Linked DNA regions of Stegostoma tigrinum. The protein of the gene in region 1 interacts with the protein of each later gene in a pairwise test. Links are inferred from orthologs where the notes say so. Each region holds a gene or a part of one and is shown on either strand. Other genes may lie near its edges. The genes, in order: morn4, ran-binding protein 3, hmmr and bend3.

What was found.
Region 2: the proteins of morn4 (region 1) and ran-binding protein 3 interact in a two-hybrid assay, tested with the Homo sapiens proteins (2 studies listed by BioGRID). The two-hybrid records come from large-scale screens. The link is inferred for Stegostoma tigrinum from reciprocal best matches to the Homo sapiens genes MORN4 and RANBP3.
Region 3: the proteins of morn4 (region 1) and hmmr interact in binary tests that used the Homo sapiens proteins (3 or more experiments, as listed by UniProt). The two-hybrid records come from large-scale screens. The link is inferred for Stegostoma tigrinum from reciprocal best matches to the Homo sapiens genes MORN4 and HMMR.
Region 4: the proteins of morn4 (region 1) and bend3 interact in binary tests that used the Homo sapiens proteins (3 or more experiments, as listed by UniProt). The two-hybrid records come from large-scale screens. The link is inferred for Stegostoma tigrinum from reciprocal best matches to the Homo sapiens genes MORN4 and BEND3.

The regions. Positions count from the first base shown.
Region 1 is NC_081373.1:12,102,139-12,109,829, forward strand, and holds the start of morn4 (MORN repeat-containing protein 4), read left to right. Parts: upstream 1-4,681; 5' UTR 4,682-4,795; intron 4,796-7,691. UniProt on the Homo sapiens protein: Plays a role in promoting axonal degeneration following neuronal injury by toxic insult or trauma.
Region 2 is NC_081383.1:25,610,555-25,617,777, reverse strand, and holds the start of ran-binding protein 3, read right to left. Parts: upstream 3,002-7,223; 5' UTR 2,923-3,001; coding exon 2,901-2,922; intron 1-2,900. UniProt on the Homo sapiens protein: Acts as a cofactor for XPO1/CRM1-mediated nuclear export, perhaps as export complex scaffolding protein. Bound to XPO1/CRM1, stabilizes the XPO1/CRM1-cargo interaction. In the absence of Ran-bound GTP prevents binding of XPO1/CRM1 to the nuclear pore complex.
Region 3 is NC_081366.1:12,723,989-12,731,171, reverse strand, and holds the start of hmmr (hyaluronan mediated motility receptor), read right to left. Parts: upstream 3,017-7,183; 5' UTR 2,950-3,016; coding exon 2,904-2,949; intron 1-2,903. UniProt on the Homo sapiens protein: Receptor for hyaluronic acid (HA). Involved in cell motility. When hyaluronan binds to HMMR, the phosphorylation of a number of proteins, including PTK2/FAK1 occurs.
Region 4 is NC_081357.1:28,190,932-28,198,434, reverse strand, and holds the start of bend3 (BEN domain-containing protein 3), read right to left. Parts: upstream 3,015-7,503; 5' UTR 2,161-3,014; intron 868-2,160; 5' UTR 861-867; coding exon 758-860; intron 1-757. UniProt on the Homo sapiens protein: Transcriptional repressor which associates with the NoRC (nucleolar remodeling complex) complex and plays a key role in repressing rDNA transcription.

The DNA.
Region 1 (7,691 bases):
GGACCTAAAGGGCAACTTTTTCACACAGAGGTAGGTGCGTGTTTGGAATGAGCTGCCAGAGGAAGTGGTGGATGCCGGTACAATTACAACATTTAAAAGACATCTGGATGGGTGTAAGAATCGGAAGGGTTCATTGTATTACGATGGAACTCATTCCAACACAAAGACCTGGGATGTCTCAAAGTCTGAAACAACAGAATGTATTTTAGGCTAACATACCACCATATTCAAAAATAAGATAACAAGGTGTAGATCTGGATGAACACAGCAGGTCAGGCAGCATCAGAGGAGCAGGAAGGCTGATGTTTCAGATCTGGACCCTTCTTCAGAAAAAATGCGTTTGGACTTGTAACAAGTGAAATAGATGAGACGGCCATGTTTGTTATTTGCGTTTAAAAATAACAGCAGAAGCTGTTCTGAATAAGAATAAGCACCTGATAGACAAATAACTTTACAAACAAGGTAATGAACAGTTATATATTGAAAGTGAGAGAAGGACTATCTCCCAACCTGTTCTGATTTTAAGTTAATCTGAGATAAAATGAAGAACTGTAGATGCTGAAGATCTGAAACAAATTGCTGGAGAAACCCAAGAGGTGTGAAGACAAAGCAGAGTCAACATTTTGAGTCCAATGACCCTGCTTCAGAACTGGGTCAAAAGATACTGCCAGACCTGTGATTTTCTTCAGCAATTTCTGTTCCTGCTTCAAAATCATCTGAGATCTGGGCTCCTGACAATTCAATGCAAGAACCCATGCAGCTTGCTGAGAATCTCTGTTTTTACATGACCTTCACTCTAATTATCAGCTCATCTAACAAACATAAAAACTACATGTAAGCTGTGAAGTCTGAGAAGCCTGTTCGGACATAGAATCTCTACAGTGCGGAATCATGCCATCTGGCCCATCAATCCACATTGACCTTCCAAAGAGCAGCCCACCCAGACCCACCCCGTACCCGATCCCTGTAATCCTGCATTTTCCACGGCTAATCCATCTAGAAAGGTATGATGGCTAAACATTATTCGTCTGTCACAAGCAGTTGACTCCTTGACTACAGAAATATTCAGATGCCTCAGATCCTTGAATTGTGGCACTAATAACTGCAGCCCTGGTGTACTTCGATGTAGACAACACTGAGGATGAGCGCAGTATGCAGAGACTGTACTAGGGTCTGGCCTGCAAAACTATTTCACTCTTGCACCTCGTCATGAGTGAGAATAAAGAATCAGTGATGTTTCCACACATCTCAGTCATCTCTGTAGGGAAAGCCCTTTTGTCTTCATCAGGTTTTCAAGGGGGCATGCAGCCATTCAAAGCTGAGAGGTGTATAGTGTTCATTTCACATGTTCAATCTTCCTCATTATACCATGCACTTTCTTTGGCAGAAAAAAAAAATTTCTTCTCATAATTCAAAGTTGTCCTACAAGATGCTCAAGCACTTCAGGTCAACTTTTCAATCTGGATGTACGTTGAACATTGAAGGATTACTTGAGGACAGAAAGGTCAGAAGAAAATTTCTCAGAGTTCCTCCCATTATATAATGACAGAATTCACTGTGCAGATATGATATGCTGACTTAAGAGCCACCTAACTTTAGTGCCATGTGATGTTACTCTCTGTCTTTTCCCTAACAGTCAATACAACATGTAATGTGACTTGATACTTGAAAGTGGCTTCACCTGAAGAGAGCAAGTATACAATCAGAATGAAAATAAGACATTTAGCGAGCACAAGAAAAGCTCAAGGATTGCAACAGGATCCACACATCCTTTGCGTTAGGCAGGGGTTGTTTCCCAGATTAATGGGAATCATCAAACCCTGCTTATTCGTCCTGGGTTCACACACTCAGAGATGCACTGCTCTGTCTTGCTGACTGAGGTGGGTCTCCTTATAAATGTCCAGAACCACATCCTCATCTTCCTCTTCAAAAGATTGCTGTTGATCTCTTATTTCCTCTGCATCATGGACATTCCTGTGTTTTTCGGCTCCAGTATGCCACAATGACGCAAGACACCTTCAAGACTATACTGAAAAGCCAACAGACAGTCCAAGCAGCAAGATTGCATTTCAAGGAAACTACAGTCTGCTGCTGGTGAGATGTCAGCAGCACTGTCTGCATCAGTCTCAGGGTTGTGTAAAGGTGTCATGAGCCATGTTTGGAGGGGAAACCCTTGTCTCCCAACAATTATTGCCTGGTATGGAGGGAAGGTCTTACGAGGAAAGGCTGAGAGACTTGAGGCTGTTTTCATTAAGAAGGTTGAGAGGTGACTTAATTGAGACATATAAGATAATCAGAGGGTTAGATAGGGTGGATAGGGAGAGCCCTTTTCCTAGGATGGTGACGGCGAGCACGAGGGGGCATAGCTTTAAATTGAGGGGTGAAAGATATAGGACAGATGTCAGAGGTGGTTTCTTTACTCAGAGAGTAGTAAGGGTATGGAACGCTTTGCCTGCAACGGTAGTAGATTCACCAACTTTAGGTACATTTAAGTCGTCATTGGATAAGCATATGGACGTACATGGAATAGTGTAGTTTAGATGGGCTTGAGATTGGTATGACAGGTCAGCACAACATCGAGGGCCGAAGGGCCTGTAATGTGCTGTAATGTCCTATGTTCTGTGTTAATTACCACTGTAAGGTTAAAGGACATTCAAAGGAAGCAGAAACTTCTGAATTCTCTGTGCATTTGAGTCACAGCATTCCCAGAATATCTGGCTTGGACCTCCCAGATTCAGTGTTGATGGCGACGTATAATTTGAGCATTTAAAGAGTGGAAACCTTTTCTGTTGATGAACCTTGCCAGTTGGTGCGATTATGCTCTCAAAGCAAAGGGGCCATCTGGGGCAAGTCAGTGATGCTAAAGAATCCCACTACCCAGGGTGTTTGACTTTTCTAGTCATTGGGGAAGGACACAAACAACTGTGATCTGAAGAAAATAGCATCAGTTATATCCTGGATGTATCATGGATTGAGGATTGGAAGATACCACATTAATCCCCAGTTGCTTCTTGAAACGAGCTACTGGAATAAAAATTCAAGGCAGCTATGAACTTGCTGACAGGATTTGTGACAGGATTTCCACCAAGTCCTGTTCCAGCAGATGACACAGTTCAGTGATAATGATCCAGACAGTTGAAAAGAATGTAATAGGGTTGGCTCACCCATTTGCTTGAAGCACATGCAGTGTGTTTGCCGCATAGACTGTTGCCAAATGCTGGAGGTGTGTTGCTGACGTAGCTAACTGTCAAATGCTCCCTATTTTGACAAGCTTCTTGCCTCTGCCTCTGTGCTAAACAGCAATGAAGCCACAAAGTCTAGCAGCGCCTAAGTAAGCACAAAGTGAGTGAACACTAAAAAAGCAAGCAAAGAGCCTTAAGATGCATTGAGTGCAGATGCGTGTGTTTCCAGGTGCACAAAGCGGTCTGGCAGAAGCACAGAAGTTGTAGTTTTGCCTTAGCTCCAAAGGCAAGTGTTGATGTAATAAGAGAGTTGTTCCGTAAGCAGCCATGAATAGGTGGTGTGGCTGGTGTTCTTGTTTACATGAAAATATATTCTTTATTCATAAATTATTTATAAGTAAATTACAAAACAGTTCAAGCCAATATTACAGAAAATACAATGAAAATATCACATTTCTCAGTCAAGAACTTTGCACTCTTCGTTGTCTCAAAACAACTAAAAATTGGAAAACATTTATCAAATATGACCAGAAACTATGTACATTTCAATACAAGATATGAGGGTTTCTAGAAGCTAATAGACACTTGTACATGGAATGGCTGTTTCTTTTTCATTTCAGAACTATACTTTGTTCATTAAAAATTTTTTGCATAAATACAATTCGGTTCTGTACAGTAGCATATCAAGGGAACAAACAAACATTGGAGTTTGACTATGCAAACCACCCAAGACCTCGGTAACATACATAATACTACATTTACATGCATTTAGGCACCAGAAGGGTCTGATAACTGAACAGACTCCCACTTAACTTCAGCTGGAAGATATGGAGTGGCTGGTGGGTTAGTGATGTCAACTTGTATGGGCAAAGGGGCTGAGGATGATGGTGGTCATGGAGCATGCAGGGATGTTCTGCTGCATACGCAACTGAATAATGGAAGCAAGCAGTGAAGTGGCTTGTTTCATTTTAAATTACTGAGACTGGGCAGATCTGTGTACACAAAGCCAAAAAGGCTGTTAAAACTCAGCAGGTCTGGCAGTAGTTGAAAAAATGTGTGGCTGGAGGAGCACTGCAGGTCAGACAAGCAGCATCTAGGGATACAGAAACAGAGCTAACGCTTCGAGCTCAATCACCCTCCATCAGGAAACAACTCAAGAACTTTGCTTGAGCAATCAAAATAATCATTCACAAAAAAAACTCACAGGGCCACTCCATATGCCCCGCTCAGACATGGACGCCTTCAGATAATTGCATCGTTTTAAGAACAAAACCGAATTGTAGGCATCACCGTTTCGCCAGCGTATTGTACAAATTAAAATAACTTAAAATCTGCATAAATCCCCGGCTCTGTGCACCGATAAATGACATATTTACAATACATAAATGCTGCTTCTGCCCCTCACAGAGATGGCAGCCAGCCGCCTCAAGGCCGTTGCCAAGGGTAACGGAGCCAGTGGTGGGGAGGACACCAATGAAGGAGCGCGTTGTTGAGGGGTGTGGGGTCTGTGTCAGGAGGACATGTCTGACTCAGGCAGGGCCTGGGAGCTGAATATTCATCAATTTAAACCTGGCTCCCTGTTGCATGATCCACAGGCTGTTTAGCACTACAGGGTGAGTAGGCACTTTTTTTAAAAAAAGCTTTAAAAGAGTCCATTTTCAGCATCAGTGTTTCTTTTTGTTATTCTTTTCTGTCCCCCCCCCCCCCCCCCGAATTTGAATTCTCAGCTGGTAGGCCATTCAGATTTTTTCCTCCTGTACGTTATTGCTAAGTCCAAATTTATACTTGATTCACTTATTTCTACATCTGTGTTTTTAGTTTAAAAATAAGGACACTAGGCGTTTGCTGTTTGAGGGGATGTAAGTTGCCCATTTTTGATGAGCGAGATTGGATAATGAATGTTTGTTAGATATTTGGCTATGTAGGGCAGTGTATTATAAGCCTGATCATGTTCCTGACCAGACGTGTGCGTTCAAGTATTGACTTTCCAGAACAACCAATGAAAAGAAGTGATTTCTGCCTTCCCCCTTCTCCCACCTATTTTAATTCAGTGATGCTGAGGTCAGTTTCTCCCTAATCTCAGACCAGGGATGGAGGATGGCATCTTCCTTCTGTGCATATTCTGAGGTACCAATTGAGAGCCGGTGTATAGTTCTTTTCACTTCTGAGGTAAGTTTTTGGGTGCAATGCCAAATCTAGAGATCTGCGTATATAATATGAAAGATTATGTTACCAATGCCATACAGAGGGAGTGTTGTGATATTAGAGGTAACACCTTTCACATGTGACATTGAGAAGTAGAGCCAAGATGTCCTCAGCGGGTGTAAAAGATCCCATTCCACCAATTTACTCGAGCAGGGGAGTGTTCCCTGGTGCGCTGAGTCAATATTTATCCCTTCACCAACACCTAAAGCAAATGATCTAGATATTATCACTTTGTTTGTAAGAGCTTGCAGTGTGCTTTTGGCTGCCATGATTCACAACAATGACTACACTTCTAAATGGTATCACGTTGGCTGTGAAGCATTTAGTTATTCTGAAAGATGCCATAGCATCACAAGTTATTTTTCTAGTTGCTATGTGTAGTGGAATTGCATAAAGTTTGTTGACTGTTGTATTTAGTGATAAGAATGATTTGTTTTACCCACCCTTCCACCTCACGTTGTGTTGGCTGGTGAGTCTATAGATCTTCCAACGTTTGCTTTTAAAAGCTGTGTTGCAAAACAAAAGTCTTTGACATCCAGTCACCACAGTAGATGTTCCTTGTGATAGTATAGCCTAAGACTCTGAACAGTGCTGCATCATTGGCAGAGTTCTTTAGTTCAGTTTGCTTATCCTGGGAGCCAGAAAGAAAGACTTGCATTTATGCAGCACTTTTCACCACCCTGAAGGTACTGAAAGTACTTTGCAGCCAAGAAAGTACTTTTTGAACTTTGTGATGTAGAATTGTGATTGAAGAGTGTCTTCACGATCATTCAGCACTGAATTGTCTTTTGAGATACTTACGTTTTTAAAATTCATTCAGAATGTCAGAATTGCTGGCAAGGCCAACATTAATTGTTTATTTCCTTAAGTTATCTTCTCAAATGTAAATTAACAGCCATATATGCTGCCAGACCTGGGGTTATCCAGCACTTTATGTTTGTACTTGTATAGTGCTTTTGACATAACAAGGCATTCCAAAGAATTTCACAGCATTTTTAGAACAAAATATTCTGAGCCACATGAGAAAATATTTCCCAGAGAGAGAAATTTTAGGACATTTCTTAACATGTTATATACAGAAGGAGACAAATCAGGTGGCAAGTTAAAGAGGTTTAAGGAGGGAAATCCAAAACCTGGAGTCTTGGAAACTGGAAGGTGTGATCATCAACCATCTAGTGATTTTAAAGTTAGGGATACTTGTGGCCGAATTTGAGGAGCATAGATATTTTGGAAATAAATAGGCCACACCAGGTAAAGGCAGCTGGTTTCCTTCCTTAAAGGACATTAGGGAACCTCTTTTATTTTTTAACAACAGTCCCATAGTTTCCTGATCATCACAACTGAGATAATCTTGTTATTCCAGAATTTGAATGAATTCAATTCTGATTTGCAGTGATGGGATTTGAACTTGTGTCTCTGGATTAGTAGTCTGGGATTCTGTTAAGTTGTTCCCTGAACAGATTGAAGCATTCTGCCAAATGACTGACATGGCTAGAACTTTCTGACAAGCACCAAGATATCACCTGGCCACTGAGAAGGGCACTGCCTGTGAGATCCTTCATGTATGCCCAGACTCTGCACCACCACACGCTGCCCTCAAACTGGCTGCCGGGTGTTGGGTTGGGGGTAGAGACTGTCAGATATCTCCTTCTGGAACATGTTTTTACAAAGGAAATCTGGAGAAACATGCAGTAGTTTTTGTCAAGGTTCATCCTGAGCAGCTCTATGATGAAGGACTCTGTGTTCTACAGTCTGCTCCCTGGGACGCACAGAGATAAACAACGATTGCACCTGGAAGACTATCGATTTGGTGAAAGATGCTCTTTCATCTGCTTGAGACTTGCTAGCCCTTCCAGAGCAAGGAGTTGACCCTGAGCGAGTGTTGCAGACTATACGTTCCAAGGTCTCCGACTGTGTGCTGATGGATGCACAAAAGCTTTGGGCAGCTACCGCCAATGTGCCATGGGGAATCACCATTGTCTAAAGGATTTCTGTTAAAGTTAAGTGGGGGTCCATATGGTTGTAGGACCCTCCAGATGCCTCAAGTATATATAAATATAGTCTTGTACAAGTATGACGTGCCTTTGGGTTGTTTGTTGGATAGAGTCAAACTCCAATGTTTGTTTGTTTCTTCATGTGAACCAAACTGCTTCAGTGATTATGTATGTGCATAACAATATTTTTTGAATAAAGTATATTATTGAAACAAAAAGTGTCTGGGTTTCAGTGGGTTACCATTCCTTTAAGTATTTTGTGTGCTTCCTTCCTGGCCACTAGAACCAGATCTTTGAGTTACTTATCCAA
Region 2 (7,223 bases), on another chromosome or scaffold:
TTGATCTTGTGGCAGAAGTCATGAATATCGAAGGTGCTGTTGTTGGAGGCTTGGCAGATTTCTGCAAAGCATTTTGTTTTTGATACAGTCTTGCTACCACTGGATGTGGAAGGAATTGGTGTTTAATATCGTGGATGAGGTGCCACTCAAGTGGGCTGCTTTGTTCTGGTGTCGTGCTTCTTGAATGTTGGAAGAAATCCTTCCCCCAGTGTAATGAGCCTGTGTATTTACTCCGCCACTGAAGTGGCTGAGGCTAAAACATGTGAGTGCTTCCAAGAAGAACTTAGATATACTTGTTAGGACTAAAGGGATCAACTGGCATGGGGAAAAAGCAGGAGAAGGTACTGCGTTGGCTGATCTACCACGAACATTTTGAATGGCAAAGCAGATTTGTAGAGCCGAATGGCCTACTCCAACTTTCTATGCTTATATTTCCAAGTGGAGTGGATTTCATCACACTCCTGATATATGCATTGTAATGCCATTGAATATCAAACAGCAAAGAAGGATCGATCACTGGTCTTGAAATTTTAACTCTGCTTTCTTTCCACAGATGCTGCTATGCCTGCTGAGTTCCTCCAACAATTTCTGCTTTTGTTCTGAATTTTCACAATCCACAGTTCTTTGTATTAATCAAGGAGTGAGAGTTAGATTTGCCCTTCGGAAATTGGTCATTGCACAATACTTGTGCAGCAGAAATGTTAATTGTTACTATCAGTCCATGCCTGAATGATATCGAGAACTTGCTGCATAAAGACATTGACTATTACAGTGGTTGTGGTATTGTGAGTGGTACTGACAACTGCACAATCACAATGACCATTCCTACTCAGCATGGGAGAAAAGCTGTTGATGAAACAGCCACCAATAGTTGGGGTTGGAGGCCATCTGAAGAGTTACAGCAGCATTGTCCTCAGGCTGAGCTGAAGGCCTTGATCAACTGCCATTATCTATCTTGGTACTAGATATGATTCTAACCAGTTATCCCACTCATTATATTTGTCAGCAATAATAAGAACTGTCATTGCTGGAGTCAGAGAAAACACACCGTGGAGCTGGAGGAACACAGCAGGCCACGCAGCATCAGAGGAGCAGGAAAGCTAGCGTTTCGGGTCAGGACCAGTTCTTTTTGATTTGGTTGTCTACTCAATTATGAAACTGTCCTTTTATCATAAACTTCTTCCTGTTTCATTTTAATCTGCTTATCTTTAGTCATCCAGGGACTTGAAATCCTTCCCTTCCCTTTCGTGAGAATAGTTTTCACCTCTACCAGAACTATCTGCTCTCAAATGACCTACAAATCCTCATTTATGATGCTATCAGGGATAAAATGAGTAAATGAAGAGTTTGCAAAACTTGGTTTGATTTTGTTTAGAAGCTTGATCCAAATAAGGTCCTTAAAATCAGAGAGATTTGATAGGGTAGGTACAAAGAAACCATTTCCTGAGATAAGAGAATCCAGAATATGGATGCACAACCTCAAAATAGGTTAGCAATTTGGGAGAGGGATTAGCTAGCATATTTCCCCACACAAGCAGTGTGTTGAGAAAATTCTAGATTCTGAGTCAACTGAAATCTTCTGATGAGAAATCACCAGGATATGGAGGAAAGGTTGGAAAACGGAGCTAAACCACAGCTAATCTGTAATTGAACACAGTGAGGCTAAATAGCCTATGATTTCTCTATTGATTTCTCTTATTCATCTCTGCATTTCTCATCTGTCCCTTACTCCTTCACGTTCTTCTCTAGCACCAAGGTTCTTCACTCACCTCCATCACTTTGGACTGGGGTGAAGGGCTTATTTTATGATAAAGGTTGAACAGGTTAGACCTACATCCAGAATTGAGCATACAAGATCTCAAGGGCAGTGAACAATAGATGCCAGGAGGATATATCCTCTTGCAGATACTGAAACCGACAGATACAGTTTAAGACGAGTTCTCTTTTGTAAGACAGAGCTGACAATTATTTTTCCTGAATCTATTGTACGTGGAACACACTTCCCTAAAAGGTAGTGGATGCTGGGACTTTAAATTTATTCAAGATTGAACTTGAGAGATTTTTGGTCAAAAAGGAAGTGAAGTGGAGACCTCAACCCACATTAGCCATGACCTTACTGAACGATGGACAGGCTCAACAAGTTAGTGGCATACTCCAAATTACATTCTCTGCACTTTGTACCCTCCTACTCCCCCTCTATCCAACTTGTCTCTTCCCATCTGCTTTCATCACAATTTCCTTCTGCCATTTCCCTCATTTCACTCGTTCACACCACCGTCCGGTCTGATCACAACTCGCTGAATCTAATCTTGCCGCATTACTAATTTCCCCTTGTGTCTCCTCCCCGATCACTCCCTTACCAACCACCTTCTTTTCTTGCTGCTACCCACACTGATTCTTCCCTTAACCCTGTTATTATACCCCACCCACTGCCCTGGTGGCTTTCTCCCTCTTACTGTTTTCTTTCCGAATCACTTTCGGAGCTTTCTATCTCACCGTTCATTTCCTAATTCTCCTTCTCGAACGCTCCCCCTTCCCGTTTTCTGGCAGGTTTATGTTTCAATCACTTTCTGTTTCTCACCGTTTACCTCTAACAGACACATACTTTCTTTTCGAGCCTTACCCCTTCCTCTTGTAACTATCCAAACGATTAACACTATTTGATTTTGTTACTGATTTGTTTGACGCTTTGGCCTGGTTAGCCGGTGTTTTGTTGTGGGTGTGTGCAACTCGTTCCTCCCCTTAGTCTACCCATTCAGCGGACACCGACACTGCACTGAGGCTGAGGCAGAAACCTGAGGCAGAAACCTGAGGCAGCTGCGTGCACATCTTGGACTAAAGAAGCTACACCCCCAACACCTCGCTTGAGCCGCGCTCCATGCTCATTTTCACCTGCTTACCTTCGTTGGCTAGATCCGCCATTTTAGGATTCTCCGCGTCCCCACAATTCACCGCGAACGGAAAGTAGCAATGCGCATGCGGCTTATCCTCAGAGGCGCCACTTTTTGGGGGTGGGGAGGGGTGCAGAATCGCGCGTGCGCACTTGTTGCTGAGTGCCCGGCGGTGCTTGCAGGGAAACTACCGATGACAGAAGTCTCCAAGAGAGCGCACGCGCACATGTTGCTCAGGGCGGGGCTAACCGTCAATGACCAACGGTCCGTGTAGTGCGCTTGCGCTGCCTGCTTGCAGCTGGTGACCTGTCCGTTGTCGGGGAGGGACGGTGAGGGGTGGAGAGATCGGAGATTATTTTCAGGAAGCGGTTTCATAGTCAGTCAGTCACCCAACAGGCAGCGGCGGCTTCGTGAGTGATCGACAGAGCAGGGACGGGAATAAATCGCCTGTTAAATGACTCGTTCGCGGCAGCAGAGCGCATGCGCCTCCGCATGGTGAGCCGAGTTTAATCTCTAACTCGTTCTGTTTGAGGAAGTTTATATCAAACAGGCCACTGGGATTAGAGTGCGTCAAAACAAAAACAATGCATCCCGGATGATGGGAATTTGAAGTCAAAACGGAAATGCTGGTTATAGTGCATCTGTGGGACCGACCATAGATGATCAAGGTCATGGAGTTGGAACATTCTTCGCCCCAGTGATAGTGCCAAACCTGCTGCGTATTTGCAGCATTGTCTGTTGTTTTTAGAGTGAGAGGTGGACATCTTTTGAGGGTTCAACATGGCTGGCCTCGCTGCTACAATGTGGGAATGTGATCTGTAGCTGAAATTGATATAATTCATCATTAGAAACATAAAATGGTTGCAACACAGTGGGCGTTGCGATTCATCCTGTCTCTGCAAGACCAACGTGCCTAGTTCTACTCTCCTGTTTTGTTTTAGTAATTTTTGTTTCTCTTCTGTAGTGCTATGAGCACAATGTGGAGGCAACTGCATGTAAAATCAGAGGCATCTCTCTCAAGCAAATGTTGTCTATGCTAAATACCAAGAAGATCAGTAGTGTCTAGAGCAATCTCAGTTCAAAAAGTCGACTAATTTTTAAAAATCAGCATGGATACAACCTATTTGGATATTAGCAAGGCTTTTCACAAAATCGTAGCAACCTGGTCAAAAATGTATAAGCCAAAAGAGAGTGCCACCTTGGATCCATAATTGGCTTAGTGGCATGAAGCAAAAGTTAGTTGTTGACAGGTTATTTTGCTGCTGGAAGTCATGTTTCCATGGGAGATCTGCAGGACTCCGTACTTGACCCTTGGGTTTTTTAGTTTATATTTTTGATGTAGGCTGTAATCCAAGATGCATGATAAAAATATTTTAACTGAAATGAATCTTGGCAACAGTGTGAGTTTTGACAGTGAAAAGAAAGGTTTAGACTGCAGAAAGATGTAGATGAGCAGGTTGGTTGGGCAGAAAATGAAAAAGAAAATTCCAACAAGAGAAGTAGTACAATAGACAAGAGGATATATGTTAACCAGGATGATACTGACTCTTATAGAGGAACAGAGGTCCTTTGGAATTTTAGAATGCACCTATCCTTGAAAACAGAACAGGCTAGAAACATAGAAAATAAGTGCATCGAGTTTGTTCCACCTTTCAACATCATCATGGCTGATCTGTTATTTCAATACTACGGCTTCATCTTGAGGAGAATTTCACATGTTCACTACCTACTGAGTGGAGAAATTTCTCTTCATTTCAGTCTGAAATATGTAACCTTGTACCCTGAAACTGTAACCCCTTGTTCTGGGATCGCTGGCCAGGGAAATCACCATCCCTCCAGGCAGTCTGTCAATCCCTATCAGAATTTTAAGTTTCAATGAGACCACCTCTCATTCTGCTAAACTCCAGTAAAAACACATCCAGTCAATATAATCTGTCCTTTTTGAATAAACTTGCCATCCCACGATTCAGTCTTGTGACCTTGCATAACATTTCCTCTATCGGCAACAATATACTTTTTTACATATAGTATCCAGTTGTGATCTCAAAAGGCCTTGGACAGCTGCAGTAAAATGATTTCAATCCCATACCCAAACCCTCTTGCAATGAAGGCCAACATACCATTTGACTTCCTAATGTCTTGCTGGACCTACACGTTTGTCTTCAATGACTGATGCATAAGCACCTGTCACTTTGTAAATGAAGCAAAGTGGAGTTGAGGATTATCACATCAGTCTTGATCTCATTATATGGCAGAGAAGACATGATGGGCTGAAGATCTATGTCTGCTCCTGTGTCGTGTCATACATTAACATTTCCCAGTCTACCACCATTTAAATAATGCTTTGCCACACTGCTTTTCGTATCAAAGTGGACAACTTCACATTTATCTATGTTGTCCTGTGTCTGCTGTCTATTTACTCACTCACTCAACTTGTCTAAATAAGCTGAACCACCTTGATATCCTCATCACAACTCACACATCCCCCTAGTTTTTACAGTAGCAAACATTGAAATATTGCAGAGATAATGGGAACTGCAGATGCTGGAGAATCCAAGATAACAAAGTGTGGGGCTGGATGAACACAGCAGGCCAAGCAGCATCTCAGGAGCACAAAAGCTGATGTTTTGGGCCTAGACCCTTCATCAGAGAGGGGAATGGGGAGAGGGGGAGGCAGACTGAAGATGGATAGAGGAGAAGATAGGTGGAGAGGAGAGTATAGGTGGTGAGGGGATAGGTCAGTCCGGGAGGACGGACAGGTCAAGGAGGTGGGATGAGGTTAGTAGGTGGGAAATGGAGGTGCGGCTTGAGGTGGGAGGAAGGGATAAGTGAAAGGAAGAACAGGTTAGGGAGGCAGGGACGAGCTGGGCTGGTTTTGGGATGCAGTGGGGGGGAGAGGACGAGCTGGGCTGGTTTTGGGATGCAGTGGGGGAAGGGGAGATTTTGAAGCTGGTAAAGTCCACATTGATACCATTGGGCTGCAGGGTTCCCAAGCGGAATATGAGTTGCTGTTCCTGCAACCTTCGGGTGGCATCATTGTGGCACTGCAGGAGGCCCATGATGGACATGTCGTCTAAGGAATGGGAGGAGGAGTTAAAATGGTTCGCGACTGGGAGGTGCGTTTGTTTATTGCGAACCGAGTGGAGGTGTTCTGCAACGCGGTCCCCAAGCCTCCGCTTGGTTTCCCCAATGTAGAGGAAGCCACAACGGGTACAGTGGATACAGTATACCACATTGGCAGATGTGCAGTTGAACATCTGCTTAATATGGAAAGTCATCTTGGGGCCTGGGAGGGGGGTGAGGGAGGAGGTGTGGGGGCAAGTATAGCACTTCCTGCGGTTGCAGGGGAAGGTGCGGGATGTGGTGGGGTTGGAGGGGAGTGTGGAGCGGACAAGGGAGTCACGGAGAGAATGGTCTCTCCGGAACTCAGACAAGGGTGGGAATGGAAAAATGTCTTGGGTGGTGGGGTTGGTTGTAGATGGCGGACGTGTCGGAGGATGATGCGTTGTATCCGGAGGTTGGTGGGGTGGTGTGTGAGAACGAGGGGGATTCTCTTAGGGCGGTTATTGTGGGGGTGGGGTGTGAGGGATGTGTTGCGGGAAATGCAATATCGCAGTTGATTCCCCCATTGAATTAGTTGACATATGTCACAAATAGCTGGGATTCAGAAAGTAGTTAGGAGACCAAATGCCATGCTTTCCGTTGTTAATGCAGGCGTAGAATTTAAGACTACGGTGTTCATAAGAGTCATCGAGTAATACAGCACGGAAACAGGACCTTCAACCCAATCTGGTCCATGCTGACCATGGTGCCCACTTGGCTAGTTCAAATCACCTACATTTGGTCCATATCCCTCTAAACTCTTCTCTTCCATGTTCCTATTCCAAATGTGTTTTTTTACATGTTGCTATTGTACCAGCATCAACTATTTTCTCCTGCAACCCAATCCATATATACACAACTCTCTGTGTGAAAAAGTTGCCCCTCAGGTCCTTCTTAAATCTATCATCTCTCATCTTAAATCTATGCCCTCTAGTTTTCAGTTCCCATCCCTAGGAAAAAGACTATATGCATTCATTCTATCCATGCCCCTGATGATTTTATATAGCTCAAAAAGGTCACTCCTCATTCTCCTACATTCCAAGGAATAAAGTCGTATCCTGACCAACATCTCCCTATAACTCACGCCTACTAGTCCTGACAAAAGTCCTCATAAGTCTTCTTTGCACACTTTCCATTTTGTCTATGTCTTTCCTATAAATCTATCATCTCTCATCTTAAATCTATGCCCTCTAGTTTTCAGTTCCCATCCCTAGGAAAAAGACTATATGC
Region 3 (7,183 bases), on another chromosome or scaffold:
AACCAAAATAAACCCCAATCATCTACTGCCTGTAAGAGATCCCACCTATTTATCTTTTTGAGTATGGACTGAAAATGAGAAAAATGCACACTACTTTAAAAAGGGAGAATATACAAGGAGTTATTTGCAGATTTGGAAAATGAGTGAAGGTGATTGATACAAATGTTACAATGTTACTTTTAGAAAGACCATGCCTAGATGAAACAGCTCTACTGATGTGTTAGGAGCAACTCTGCTTGGACAATCTATCTTTGGTTGACTTTTCAATTGGCATAATTTGTTATGGGGTCAAGTGAACTCAGCATAGCAAAAAGCCTCTGATTGATCATGTTGCAATCTAACAGATCCTAAGGGGAATGAAAACAGAAGACATTAGAAATTGCCCAAAGCTTGCAATATCAACATCTCCCTATCTGTCCGCTCTCTTGCTCTGGAAAATTGTATCCTCAAATTCTGTTGAAAGAGCAAGGAGGAACTATGTTCAGAGCTGTCAAAATGACGAATACTGAAGTTCACCGGAACAAGACAGACCTGAGTCCAACCAAATCGCCAGTGAACTGCAAATTGATCATCAAACACTCAAACGGATTCTGAAGCCAATTCATCTAGTTTTAAGATCTTGGACCTGTGATACAAAATTATGTTCCTGATGTTCTTTTTCCTCTCCATTGATAATATTTGTGTCTTGTCTGTTTCCCTGTGCACCCGAGTGAATATTTTAAAGATTAAGTTATATAAATTATAAATCCAGTTTGAAATTCATCTAACCAACATTTTACCATTGTCATGAATAGTTTTATTGTGATCAATCATTATTTTCTTATTAATAGAAAAGGCGGGTGTGCTAAATCTGTCAACCTGAATTATAGTTAAATAGAATTGGGCAATTCAGGGGTTTAATCAAATTTTCACATTTGTGACAACTCAGGGAAAGATGGGTTTGAATTACAATGCACTATCCTCAGCGAGTTGTGACACAATGCAAACCTCATATCTCCAACTTTCAACTTCTTGACTTCATCATAGGTTCAACTCAAACAGCACCATCAACATTGCCTTAAGTATGAATATACAAAATATCCTTGTGCCTAATCTCAGTCCTCCCCAGTGACATTCTTGAATGAAGATAATTAAAATTTCCTTCTGTCCAAAATTTTTGACAATGGTACAAAGTTATCCCCTTGGGGCTCACTGTTGTGTTACACATGGGGACACATCATTTTAAAAAGCTGTTACTGAAATATGGATTGTGATTGAAGGGTATATGCTAGCCATAATCTGATGCTGTTTTTTGTGTCAGCACAGGAAGTGCTATAAGGAATTCTTGCAGTCCCAAAAAGAATTCTTTCAATCCAACATAAAGGGACGGAGGGTTAACAACTGGAGGTGTGGAGGGCTCCTCTGGCCATGAATACTAAGGGAAATCTAGCAGCTCCATTGTCATTGAGACATTATAGGCTATTAGAAGTACAGAATTGTATTTAGCCACAATTTATGATCAAATGGTCGAGCACATCCCCCTCTACTGATAGCACCAAGGCAAGGGACTGAGCCTTGTTTATTATGTTTTCTGCACACAACCAGGAACAACACAAGATATATCAAAAAATGAAACGCTGAAGCAGTGAAATTACCAAGGACCACATACATGCAAACCTAGCTGAAGCAGCAAGCAACTGAGTAAGCAAAGGATCTCACAATCGACAGGTTGGATCAGATCCAAATTCTCAAAGTCCTGCCAAACACCCAACACGAATGATGGTGTAAAAGTAAATTAACTGAAGGAGAAGCTCCATAAAGATCTCCATTTTCAATGATAGAGAATCAATACAAAATATATTTGCAACCATCTTTAGCCAGAAGTCCAAAGTAGAGATCCATCTCTATCTCTACCTGGAAGGCCCACTATCATCCTGTCAAATGAAACCAACAAATCAGAATGTTCTCACAGACATTTATTCTGTCCTGTGAGAGTTTACGTCATTCTTAACCTGTGAAAAGTGGGCCTTCTTGAGAAGCTGATCACTTGGGATGTAGACACAGCATAAGCCAGCAAACCTCATTCTCCATGACCGCATGACTGGGGAAAATCTGTTTCAATCAGGACATTGGAATTTGCACACCTGTCCTTGAAGACCCTGCGAAGACACAACTGGCGGAAACAGCCTGGCGCTTTAGTTGCCTACACCATGCTGGCCTGGATGGGTGCAGGACCAAACAGGACAAAAAGCAGTCTGCGTGACTAGCGCCATATCTACAAGCATCCATTCCATCCACCAACCCCCAGTCAGTAGTGTGCATCATCCACAAGACACAGACTCAGTGGGCCAAAGGGCTTTTCTTGCATGCAGATTTCCAACACCCTCCCATTGAGAGAAATTTCTCCTTCAATCACTTTTGGAACACCATCCAGGACAAAGCAGCTCGCTTGATTGGCACTACATCCACAAGCATCCACTCCCTCCACCACCGACACTCAGTAGCAGCAGTATGTACCAGCAACAAGATGCACTGCAGAAATACAAAGATCCTTAGACAGCACTTCTCAAACCAACATTCGCTTCCATGTAAAAGGACAAGGGGAAAGTAGATACTTTTGATTTAATCTGTCATTGTCACATGAACCTTGGTGCAGTGAAAAGTTTTGTTTTGCGTGCAGATCGTACCAGGCAAAGTGCATCAGGCCAACAGAACGTGGGAAACAACAGCAGCTTCTGAAGGAGCAATAGGGAACGGGCAGTAAATGCTGACCCAGCCAAAGACCGTCCACGTCCCATGAACATGACAAAAAGCTGACAGCGGCTGCGATCAGACCTCAACCTGCAGCGGAGCCGTCACTCACCCACACACAGTGAAAGTTCTCGGAGATCGGATTCCCTGTGAGCCCCGGGAACGCAACTCACCCACTTTGTCGTTGAAGCGTTTAAGCGGCGCTCTGGGGAATGACATGCCGTCTCGTCCCGTCCGAGAGCTGCGACCGTCAGTTGATGGAATAACTCGATCCGGCTCCCCCGCCAACCGCCGGCCGTTTGAATGTTCGGTCACATGACACCGCGCACCAATCAGAGGCCCGGGAACCGCCAACGGCCTCCTGGTCCGCTCACGTGACCGTTATGGGGGCGGGCCTCTTCTCTATCAACCGGGTAACCATCACCCCGACCACCAGAGTTCCTCGCCCCCACTGTTACCATGGTAATCCTCCATCACGCCGTCACCATGGAAATGCTCAGCGCCTGTCGCCGTGGTAACTGTCCCCACCATTTCACCATGGTAACTCTCCCCAGACTGTTCTCCCAACATTCCCTGTTTACTTCCAACCCCCGCAAAGATTCTTTCAAATTCTGACCTCCCCATCCATTTCCCCGACCCCAACACTTCACCCCAACACCTCCTGGACCAGGAGACCCTCCACACTTCACCCCAACACCTCCTGGACCAGGAGACCCTCCACACTTCACCCCAACACCTCCTGGACCAGGAGACCCTCCACACTTCATCCCAACACCTCCTGGACCAGGAGACCCTCCACACTTCACCCCCACACCTCCTGGACCAGGAGACCCTCCACACTTCACCCCAACACCTCCTGGACCAGGAGACCCTCCACACTTCACCCCAACACCTCCTGGACCAGGAGACCCTCCACACTTCACCCCAACACCTCCTGGACCAGGAGACCCTCCACACTTCACCCCAACACCTCCTGGACCAGGAGACCCTCCACACTTCACCCCAACACCTCCTGGACCAGGAGACCCTCCACACTTCACCCCAACACCTCCTGGACCAGGAGACTCTCCACAATTCACCCCAACACCTCCTGGACCAGGAGACCCTCCACACTTCACCCCAACACCTCCTGGACCAGGAGACTCTCCACAATTCACCCCAACACCTCCTGGACCAGGAGACCCTCCACACTTCACCCCCACACCTCCTGGACCAGGAGACCCTCCACACTTCACCCCAACACCTCCTGGACCAGGAGACCCTCCACACTTCATCCCAACACCTCCTGGACCAGGAGACCCTCCACACTTCACCCCAACACCTCCTGGACCAGGAGACCTTCCACACTTCACCCCCACACCTCCTGGACCAGGAGACCCTCCACACTTCACCCCCACACCTCCTGGACCAGGAGACCCTCCACACTTCACCCCAACACCTCCTGGACCAGGAGACCCTCCACACTTCATCCCAACACCTCCTGGACCAGGAGACCCTCCACACTTCACCCCAACACCTCCTGGACCAGGAGACCCTCCACACTTCACCCCAACACCTCCTGGACCAGGAGACTCTCCACACTTCATCCCAACACCTCCTGGACCAGGAGACCCTCCACACTTCACCCCAACACCTCCTGGACCAGGAGACCCTCCACACTTCATCCCCACACCTCCTGGACCAGGAGACCCTCCACACTTCACCCCCACACCTCCTGGACCAGGAGACCCTCCACACTTCACCCCCACACCTCCTGGACCAGGAGACCCTCCACACTTCATCCCCACACCTCCTGGACCAGGAGACCCTCCACACTTCACCCCCACACCTCCTGGACCAGGAGACCCTCCACACTTCATCCCAACACCTCCTGGACCAGGAGACCCTCCACACTTCACCCCAACACCTCCTGGACCAGGAGACCCTCCACACTTCATCCCCACACCTCCTGGACCAGGAGACCCTCCACACTTCACCCCCACACCTCCTGGACCAGGAGACCCTCCACACTTCACCCCCACACCTCCTGGACCAGGAGACCCTCCACACTTCATCCCCACACCTCCTGGACCAGGAGACCCTCCACACTTCACCCCCACACCTCCTGGACCAGGAGACCCTCCACACTTCACCCCCACACCTCCTGGACCAGGAGACCCTCCACACTTCACCCCAACACCTCCTGGACCAGGAGACCCTCCACACTTCACCCCAACACCTCCTGGACCAGGAGACCCTCCACACTTCATCCCCACACCTCCTGGACCAGGAGACCCTCCACACTTCATCCCCACACCTCCTGGACCAGGAGACCCTCCACACTTCACCCCAACACCTCCTGGACCAGGAGACCCTCCACACTTCACCCCAACACCTCCTGGACCAGGAGACCCTCCACACTTCATCCCCACACCTCCTGGACCAGGAGACCCTCCACACTTCATCCCCACACCTCCTGGACCAGGAGACCCTCCACACTTCACCCCAACACCTCCTGGACCAGGAGACCCTCCACACTTCACCCCAACACCTCCTGGACCAGGAGACCCTCCACACTTCACCCCAACACCTCCTGGACCAGGAGACCCTCCACACTTCACCCCAACACCTCCTGGACCAGGAGACCCTCCACACTTCATCCCCACACCTCCTGGACCAGGAGACCCTCCACACTTCATCCCCACACCTCCTGGACCAGGAGACCCTCCACACTTCACCCCAACACCTCCTGGACCAGGAGACCCTCCACACTTCACCCCAACACCTCCTGGACCAGGAGACCCTCCACACTTCATCCCCACACCTCCTGGACCAGGAGACCCTCCACACTTCATCCCCACACCTCCTGGACCAGGAGACTCTCCACACTTCACCCCAACACCTCCTGGACCAGGAGACCCTCCACACTTCACCCCCACACCTCCTGGACCAGGAGACCCTCCACACTTCACCCTCACACCTCCTGGACCAGGAGACTCTCCACACTTCATCCCCACACCTCCTGGACCAGGAGACCCTCCACACTTCATCCCCACACCTCCTGGACCAGGAGACCCTCCACACTTCATCCCCACACCTCCTGGACCAGGAGACCCTCCACACTTCATCCCCACACCTCCTGGACCAGGAGACCCTCCACACTTCACCCCCAACACCTCCTGAACCAGGAGACCCTCCACACGTCACCCCCACACCTCCTGGACCAGGAGACCCTCCACACTTCACCCCCACACCTCCTGGACCAGGAGACCCTCCACACTTCATCCCCACACCTCCTGGACCAGGAGACCCTCCACACTTCACCCCAACACCTCCTGGACCAGGAGACCCTCCACACTTCACCCCCACACCTCCTGGACCAGGAGACCTTCCACACTTCATCCCCACACCTCCTGGACCAGGAGACCCTCCACACTTCACCCCCACACCTCCTGGACCAGGAGACCTTCCACACTTCACCCCCACACCTCCTGGACCAGGAGACCCTCCACACTTCATCCCCACACCTCCTGGACCAGGAGACCCTCCACACTTCATCCCAACACCTCCTGGACCAGGAGACCCTCCACACTTCACCCCAACACCTCCTGGACCAGGAGACCCTCCACACATCATCCCCACACCTCCTGGACCAGGAGACCCTCCACACTTCACCCCAACACCTCCTGGACCAGGAGACCCTCCACACTTCACCCCAACACCTCCTGGACCAGGAGACCCTCCACACTTCATCCCCACACCTCCTGGACCAGGAGACCCTCCACACTTCACCCCCACACCTCCTGGACCAGGAGACCCTCCACACTTCACCCCAACACCTCCTGGACCAGGAGACCCTCCACACTTCACCCCCACACCTCCTGGACCAGGAGACCCTCCACACTTCACCCCAACACCTCCTGGACCAGGAGACTCTCCACACTTCACCCCCACACCTCCTGGACCAGGAGACCCTCCACACTTCATCCCCACACCTCCTAGACCAGGAGACCCTCCACACTTCACCCCAACACCTCCTGGACCAGGAGACCCTCCACACTTCACCCCCACACCTCCTGGACCAGGAGACCCTCCACACTTCATCCCCACACCTCCTGGACCAGGAGACCCTCCACACTTCATCCCCACACCTCCTGGACCAGGAGACCCTCCACACTTCACCCCAACACCTCCTGGACCAGGAGACCCTCCACACTTCACCCCAACACCTCCTGGACCAGGAGACCCTCCACACTTCATCCCCACACCTCCTGGACCAGGAGACCCTCCACACTTCACCCCAACACCTCCTGGACCAGGAGACCCTCCACACTTCACCCCCACACCTCCTGGACCAGGAGACCCTCCACACTTCATCCCCACACCTCCTGGACCAGGAGACCCTCCACACTTCACCCCAACACCTCCTGGACCAGGAGACCCTCCACACTTCACCCCAACACCTCCGGGACCA
Region 4 (7,503 bases), on another chromosome or scaffold:
TGTATTAGCTGATAAAATCCAGATGTAAAACCAGTTAGAGTCGAGACAGTTTATTGATCTGCAAAAGTAGCTGTAGTGTATGGCAGAATATAAAAGAAGAAATTAGAAGTGTATGTAACTTGAGTAATATAGTTATGCTGGGGACTCTAATCTGCATGTAGACTTTATCAAACAAATTTGCAGTAATAGTGAGGAGGATAAGTTTATGAAATGCATTTACGATAATTTTGTAGTTCAGAACATCCAAATACAACTAAGGAATACACTATTTTATTTCCAATATTTGCTTTTCATACACATGTAATTTGGTTTCTTCTTCAGAGTTAACAACCTAGTACTTTACAGAAATAAATCAACCTCAAACTCGATATAGAATTAATATTATGATTGCTCTTCCCAGCTAATCACGTCTCATTGTAGAACATTCTATTTTGGTACCTACCAATTCCAGTTAAATTGCAAGCTGTGTTTTTGCTAAATGGTGATACTACACCATTTGTTCACCTCGTGTGCACTTAGTGCCAAAGAAATACTATTGAAATGACATAAATTACCAGAAGTTAACAAAGAAAAGAACAGAAGATAAAGCCATTCAAGTTTGTGCTACAGGGCATGTCAGTACTTCTACTAAAATCCTTACCCATGTATTGCTGAAGCAGGCTGCAAATCTTTGCTTTATGTCTGTGTGTGGCATGACTTCCATTACATCATGAAGGCCTCTTCTCCTTCCCATCAAAGAACTTATAAAGGAACTTACCTTGTGCTCCTTTTCCTAACTCTTCATTCGTACTGACTGAAGGATTTCGAACTATGAATATTACTCTGGGTCCAGGTCCCCCATTCTGCTCCGCAATGTTCATTTTCTACCTGGAATAAACAACTCTACGATTAAAAACAAACGAATCAAATGCGTGTTATTTAACAGCTAGTAAAGTTATCTGCATCAACCAGAAACAAAGTTATACATTCAGTCACTCTGCCCTTAAATAAACAACTTAGATTTTATCAGCTTCCTGAAATTAATTCATTCAACAGCTAATTTTGCCTAAGAATTAAGTACACCCTTTCCAGTGTCTCTTACAAAACTTTTTTAATCTGCCGAAGTGAATTATAAATGTCTGAGAAAGAAATGAACCATATACAGCTCCATTTTTGTTTTCCAGACAAAGTGTTTTGTTAACTTTTTAAGAAAAAACAGCTACTGTTTCATTCTGTTGCAAAATATACTGATTGCATTTTCTCCACATGAACTAAATCAAACTGTAAACATTCAAGAAATAGCTGCTGTTGTCCAACTACCCTCTGCTCACACCGTAGTCATTCCAATACATTTTTTGAAAATGCACTTTTATGCTTTCAAATTCACAATTAACAGAAATAGATTTAATGCAGCTTAATGTGAGGTCAAGTGTAGTTGGCTTCCACAACTTATTGTTACAAAGTAAAAGAAGCAACTGCATTTAAAAAGTGGAAAGACCCAATCTGAGAAGGAACATTAATAATTAGGAGAAATGCTTATTTTGACGCTGAAAACGTATGATATTTGATTTGATGCAGCGTGGTCTTATCTATTTTTATGTGAAGTGGTGAGATTTATACATTAAAGAGATTTGTAGCGGGGGGGATAGCCCAATGAAATTGCGTACAATTTGGCTACAGTAAATCTGAGCCGAACTGGAGTTGAGTGAGTTTGCCATGTGCCTGGCACGGGGGAGGGGGACGATAATCCTATGAGGGCGCTGTGTCTTCACCCAGCAAAAAAAACCCGAGACATAACTCAGCGTGGAACATAAAAAAAACCCATTCCACTTCCCTTTTAGCCTGAAAATTCACTGCCTCCTAAGGGGGTGAGATTGCACGTTGCTTCGAAATCACCAACAATTTCTTACAAACTTGAGAGAGAGGAGGGGGTGCAATTGCAAAGCAGTTGAGCTCAGCGCTGGGGTTGGTTAAAGGGCACGTACAGCAGTAACGCCATGACCCTGCTCTCAGAGGCAGTGTTTGTCTTTGCTTAGGGATAAAGATCACTGCAGATAAAACACAAATCTCTCTCCTGTGTGTGTCACATTCCCTGCCCTCCTCCCACCTCTCCCTCGCTCTCCTGCATAGCCCCATTCTCTGAGTTGCTGCCTTGTCCTGCTGCCTCCTCCTGAGACTTACCTGGCCGCTCCGGCTGAGTCAAGCGGAGCTCCCTCCCCGGCCGCCTGTGGAAAATGGAGCCGTGTTTTTCTCTCTCTCTCTCTCTCTCTGTTACTCCGGGTGTCTGCTCCGTGACGTGACTCTGTGTCATTTCCGCAGCCAGGCGAGAGGGAGAGAAGAAAGGAAGGAGAGAAACACGAGAGAAGGGAAACGCGAAAAGGACGCACACAGGGAGAGGGAGAAACATCAGAGACAGGGAGAAAGGACCGGGGCAGTGAGGGACAGAGAGAGAGGAGGATTGAGAGAGGAAAAAAAAGACGGGGGGCACGAAAAGAGACCAGCGAGGGGGAAATGAGAAACACGGGAGGCCAGAGACAAACTGACAGGCAGGAAAGAGCAGCAAGAGAAGGAAGGAAAACTCCGGGGGAGAGAGAGAGAGAAAACAACAAAACACGAGAGAATGGAGGTAGGAGGCTGGTAAAGGAGTGAGGGAGAGAGGGGTGAGGGAAAGAGGTTGAAAACCTTTGGGGAGAAAAGGGTCGGGGAATCACCATAGACTAGAAGTTATGGGAGAATTAGGCCATGCACCCCATCAAGTGTGATCTGCCATTAGATCGTGGCTGCTTTGTTTCTCACCCCCATTCTCCTATTTTCTCTGTGTAATCCGTGATCCCCTCACAAATCAAGAATCTATCTCTGTCCTAAGTACGCTCAATGACTTGGCCTCCACAGCGTTCTGCTGCAATAAGTTCCACAGATTCACCACTGTCTGGCTGAAGAAATTCCTCCTTATCTCAGTTCTTAAGGGAGACCCCTTCACTCTGAGCTGTGCCCTCGGGCCTGTGTCTCTCCTATGTGTGGAAACATATCCATGTTCCACCCCTTTCACCCACATTAACCGCCTCAACCTCTCCACCCCTCTCACCCACCATTAACCGCCTCAACCTCTCCACCCCTCTCACCCACTCCAACCTCTCCCCCGCAGAACGGGCAGCCCTCCGCTCCAACCCCAACCTCACCATCAAACCCGCAGACAAGGGTGGCGTAGTGGTAGTATGGCGCACTGACCTCTACATCGCCGAGGCCAGACGCCAACTCTCCGACACCACCTCCTAACGCCCCCTCGATCATGACCCCACACCCGAGCACCAAACCATCACCTCCAACACCATTCATGACCTCATCACCTCAGGGGACCTCCCACCCACAGCCTCCAACCTCATTGTTCTCCCAACCCCGCACAGCCTGTTTCTATCTCCTTCCCAAAATCCACAAACCTGCCTGCCCTGGTTGACCCATCATCTCAGCCTGCTCCTGCCCCACCAAACTCATCTCCACCTATCTGGACTCCATTTTCTCCCCTTTGGTCCAGGAACTCCCCACCTACGTCTGTGACACCACCCATGCCCTCCACCTCCTCCAAGACTTCCAATTCCCTGGCCCCCAACACCTCAATTTCACCATGGACGTCCAGTCCCTATACACCTGCATTCCGCATGCAGATGGCCTCAAGGCCCTCCGCTTCTTCCTGTCCCGCAGGCCCGACCAGTCCCCCTACACCGACACCCTCATCCGCCTGGCCGAACTCGTCCTCACCCTCAACAACTTCTCTTTCGATTCCTCCCACTTCCTACAGACTAAGGGGGTGGCCATGGGCACCCGCATGGGCCCCAGCTATGCCTGCCTCTTTGTAGGTTATGTGGAACAGTCCCTCTTCCGCACCTACGCAGGCCCCAAACCCCACCTCTTCCTCCGTTACATTGATGACTGTATCGGCGCCGCCTCTTGCTCCCCAGAGGAGCTCGAACAGTTCATCCACTTCACCAACACCTTCCACCGCAACCTTCAGTTCACCTGGGCCATCTCCAGCACATCCCTCACCTTCCTGGATCTCTCAACCTCCATCTCAGGTAACCAGCTTGTAACTGATGTCCATTTCAAGCCCACCGACTCCCACAGCTACCTAGAATACACCTCCTCCCACCCACACTCCTGCAAAAATTCCATCCCCTATTCCCAATTCCTCCGCCTCCGCTGCATCTGCTCCCAGGATGAGGCATTCCACCCCCGCACATCCCAGATGTCCAAGTTCTTCAAGGACCGCAACTTTCCCCCCACAGTGGTCGAGAACACCCTTGACCGCGTCTCCCGCATTTCCCGCAACACATCCCTCACACCCCACCCCCGCCACAACCACCCTAAGAGGATCCCCTTCGTTCTCACACACCACCCCACCAATCTCCGGATACAACGCATCAACTTCCGCCATCTACAATCCAACCCCACCACCCAAGACATTTTTCCATCCCCACCCCTGTCTGCTTTCCGGAGAGACCACTCTCTCCGTGACTCCCTTGTTCGCTCCACACTGCCCACCAACCCCACCACACCCGGCACCTTCCCCTGCAACTGCAGGAAATGCTACACTTGCCCCCACACCTCCTCCCTCACCCCTATCCCAGGCCCAAAGATGACTTTCCACATTAAGCAGAGGTTCACGTGCACATCTGCCAATGTGGTATACTGCATCCACTGTACCCGGTGTGGCTTCCTCTACATTGGGGAAACCAAGCGGAGGCTTGGGGACCGCTTTGCAGAACACCTCCGCTCGGTTCGCAATAAACAACAGCACCTCCCAGTCGCAAACCATTTCCACTCCCCCTCCCATTCTTTAGATGACATGTCCATCATGGGCCTCCTGCAGTGCCACAATGATGCCACCCGAAGGTTACAGGAACAGCAACTCATATTCCGCTTGGGAACCCTGCAGCCCAATGGTATCAATGTGGACTTCACCAGCTTCAAAATCTCCCCTTCCCCCACCGCATCCCAAAACCAGCCCAGTTCGTCCCTTGCCCCCACTGCACCACACAACCAGCCCAGCTCTTCCCCTCCACCCACTGCATCCCAAAACCAGTCCAACCTGTCTCTGCCTCCCTAACCTGTTCTTCCTCTCACTCATCCCTTCCTCCCACCCCAAGCCGCACCTCCATCTCCTACCTACTAACCTCATCCCATCTCCTTGACCTGTCCGTCTTCCCTGGACTGACCTATCCCCTCCCTACCTCCCCACCTATACTCTCCTCTCCACCTATCTTCTTTTCTCTCCATCTTCGGTCCGCGTCCCCCTCTCTCCCTATTTATTCCAGAACCCTCACCCCATCCCCCTCTCTGATGAAGGGTCTAGGCCTGAAACGTCAGCTTTTGTGCTCCTGAGATGCTGCTGGGCCTGCTGTGTTCATCCAGCCTCACATTTTATTATCTATGTCCACGCTGTCCAGGCCTCTCAGTATTCATAATTTTCCGCAAAACCTTCCTCATCCGGATGTATCGGAACTGACGACAAGACTCCTAAGACCAGTAGGAATCAGGGTGGCCCCCACAAGCCCACACCCACTCTACAACAAACGCTTACAAGGATTAAAGACTGCATTCCCACAACATGCAGAACGAACGTGGTTTACAAAATACCATGCAACGCCATCAACATGACATCGGACAGACAGGAAGGAAACTAGCCACCAGAATACACAAACATCAGCGAGCAGCAAAACAGCACAATGAACTCTCCTTAATATCTGTCCACTGAGACAATGAAGGCCATCAGTTTAACTGGGACAAGGTAACCACAGGAGCCAAAACCAAACATAGACACGCACGGGAATTCCTAGAGGCATTGTCCTCCACCCATTCTTCAATCAACAAACATGTAGAATTGGACCCCACATACAAACCCATACAGATCAAAACCGGGAATGACAGTACTTACTGTAATGGATCGGACAGTTTAAATTCCAAGTGGAGTAGAACAACGCCACTTCATTGGAGGCTCCAGTGAAGGTGTCACCTAACAAAAACAAGCCAGCTTGGGAAGTAAGTCAATAACCTCACCCTCCTCATCCTTCTAAACTCCAAGTACCGACCCAGAGTCCTCAACCGCTTCGCATTTGAGAAACCCTTCATCCTCAGGGTCATTCTTTTAAACCTCCTCTGGGGTCTCTCAGCACATCCCTTTTTAGATATTGAGCCCAAAATTGCTCGTAATATTTCAAATGTTGTCTGACCAGAGCCTTATATAGAGCCTCAGTAGTACACCTCTGCTCTTGCAATCTTGCCCACTTGAAATAAATGCTAACATCTTAACCGCCAACTGAATCTGCATGTTAACCTTAAGAGAATCCTCAACTTGGAACGCTAAGTCCCTTTGTACTTCAGATTTACAAACCTTTTCCCATGTAGAAAATAGTTTACTCCTCTCTTCTTCCTCCCTAAGTGCATAATCTAATACTTTCCCACAATGTGTTCCATCTGCCACTTCTTTGCCCACTCTCATTGCCTGTCCAATGTTTTGTTCCTGGTTTGTATTTTTTTTTAGAAAAACATATAATGACAGGGGATGAGAGAGGAGACAAAGTTGGTGAGAAGGGAGGAAATAAACATCAGAGAGATCCTTCGATTGGTTTGACCTGCAAATGAAGGGGAGAGACTGAAATGTGCAGGAGAACGGAAGTGAGGATACAATGGGTTGGACAGAAGTCCTTCTGTTGCCTCTGCAATTCCTCAACACTACTAGTTCTTTCACCTTTATTTGCATCACCTGCAAGTTTAGTAATGATGTCCTCAGTCCATCGTCCAGATTGTTAGTGTATAACTTGCATACTGAACATTGATTGCTGAGTAACTCCACTAGACACTGACTGCCGCTCTGAAAAAGATGGCTATATAGTAGTTCTCCTTTAATGCAATAACATTCTTGAGTGACCTCTTACTATAGAAAATTGTTACAGGGAAATTGCTATAGAAAATTGCTATATGTGTACAGCAGAAAGCTCGTGATATCCAAACAGCCTCCATCAATCAGGTTACTGCCAACTTGTGTTAACAAAACACACGTTATAACAAAACTATCTGTATCACACTCTGTTCACCCTTGGGCGACTGTCTGTGTGGAGTTCATGCATCCTCCCTGTGTCTGTGTGGGTTTCTTCCTGCAGTCCAAAGATGTGCTGTCTCACAGCGCCAGAGACGCGGCTTCAACTCCACTCTCGGGCGACTGTCAGTGTGGAGTTTGCACATTTTCCCCATGTTTACGTGGGTTTCCTCCAGGTGCTCTAGTTTCCTCCCGCAGTCCAGATGTTTGCAGGCTAGGTGGATTGGCCATGCTAAATTCCCCATTGTGCTCAGGGACATGTAGATTAGGTGGGTTATAGAGGGATGGGTTTGGGTGGGTGCTCTGAGGGTCGGTGTGGACTTGCTGGACCAAAGGGCCTGTTTCTACACTATAGGGATTTTATAATCTATGATCTATATGCAGGTTAGGTGGATTGGCCTTAGTAAATTGCCCATAATGTCCAATGTAGTGCA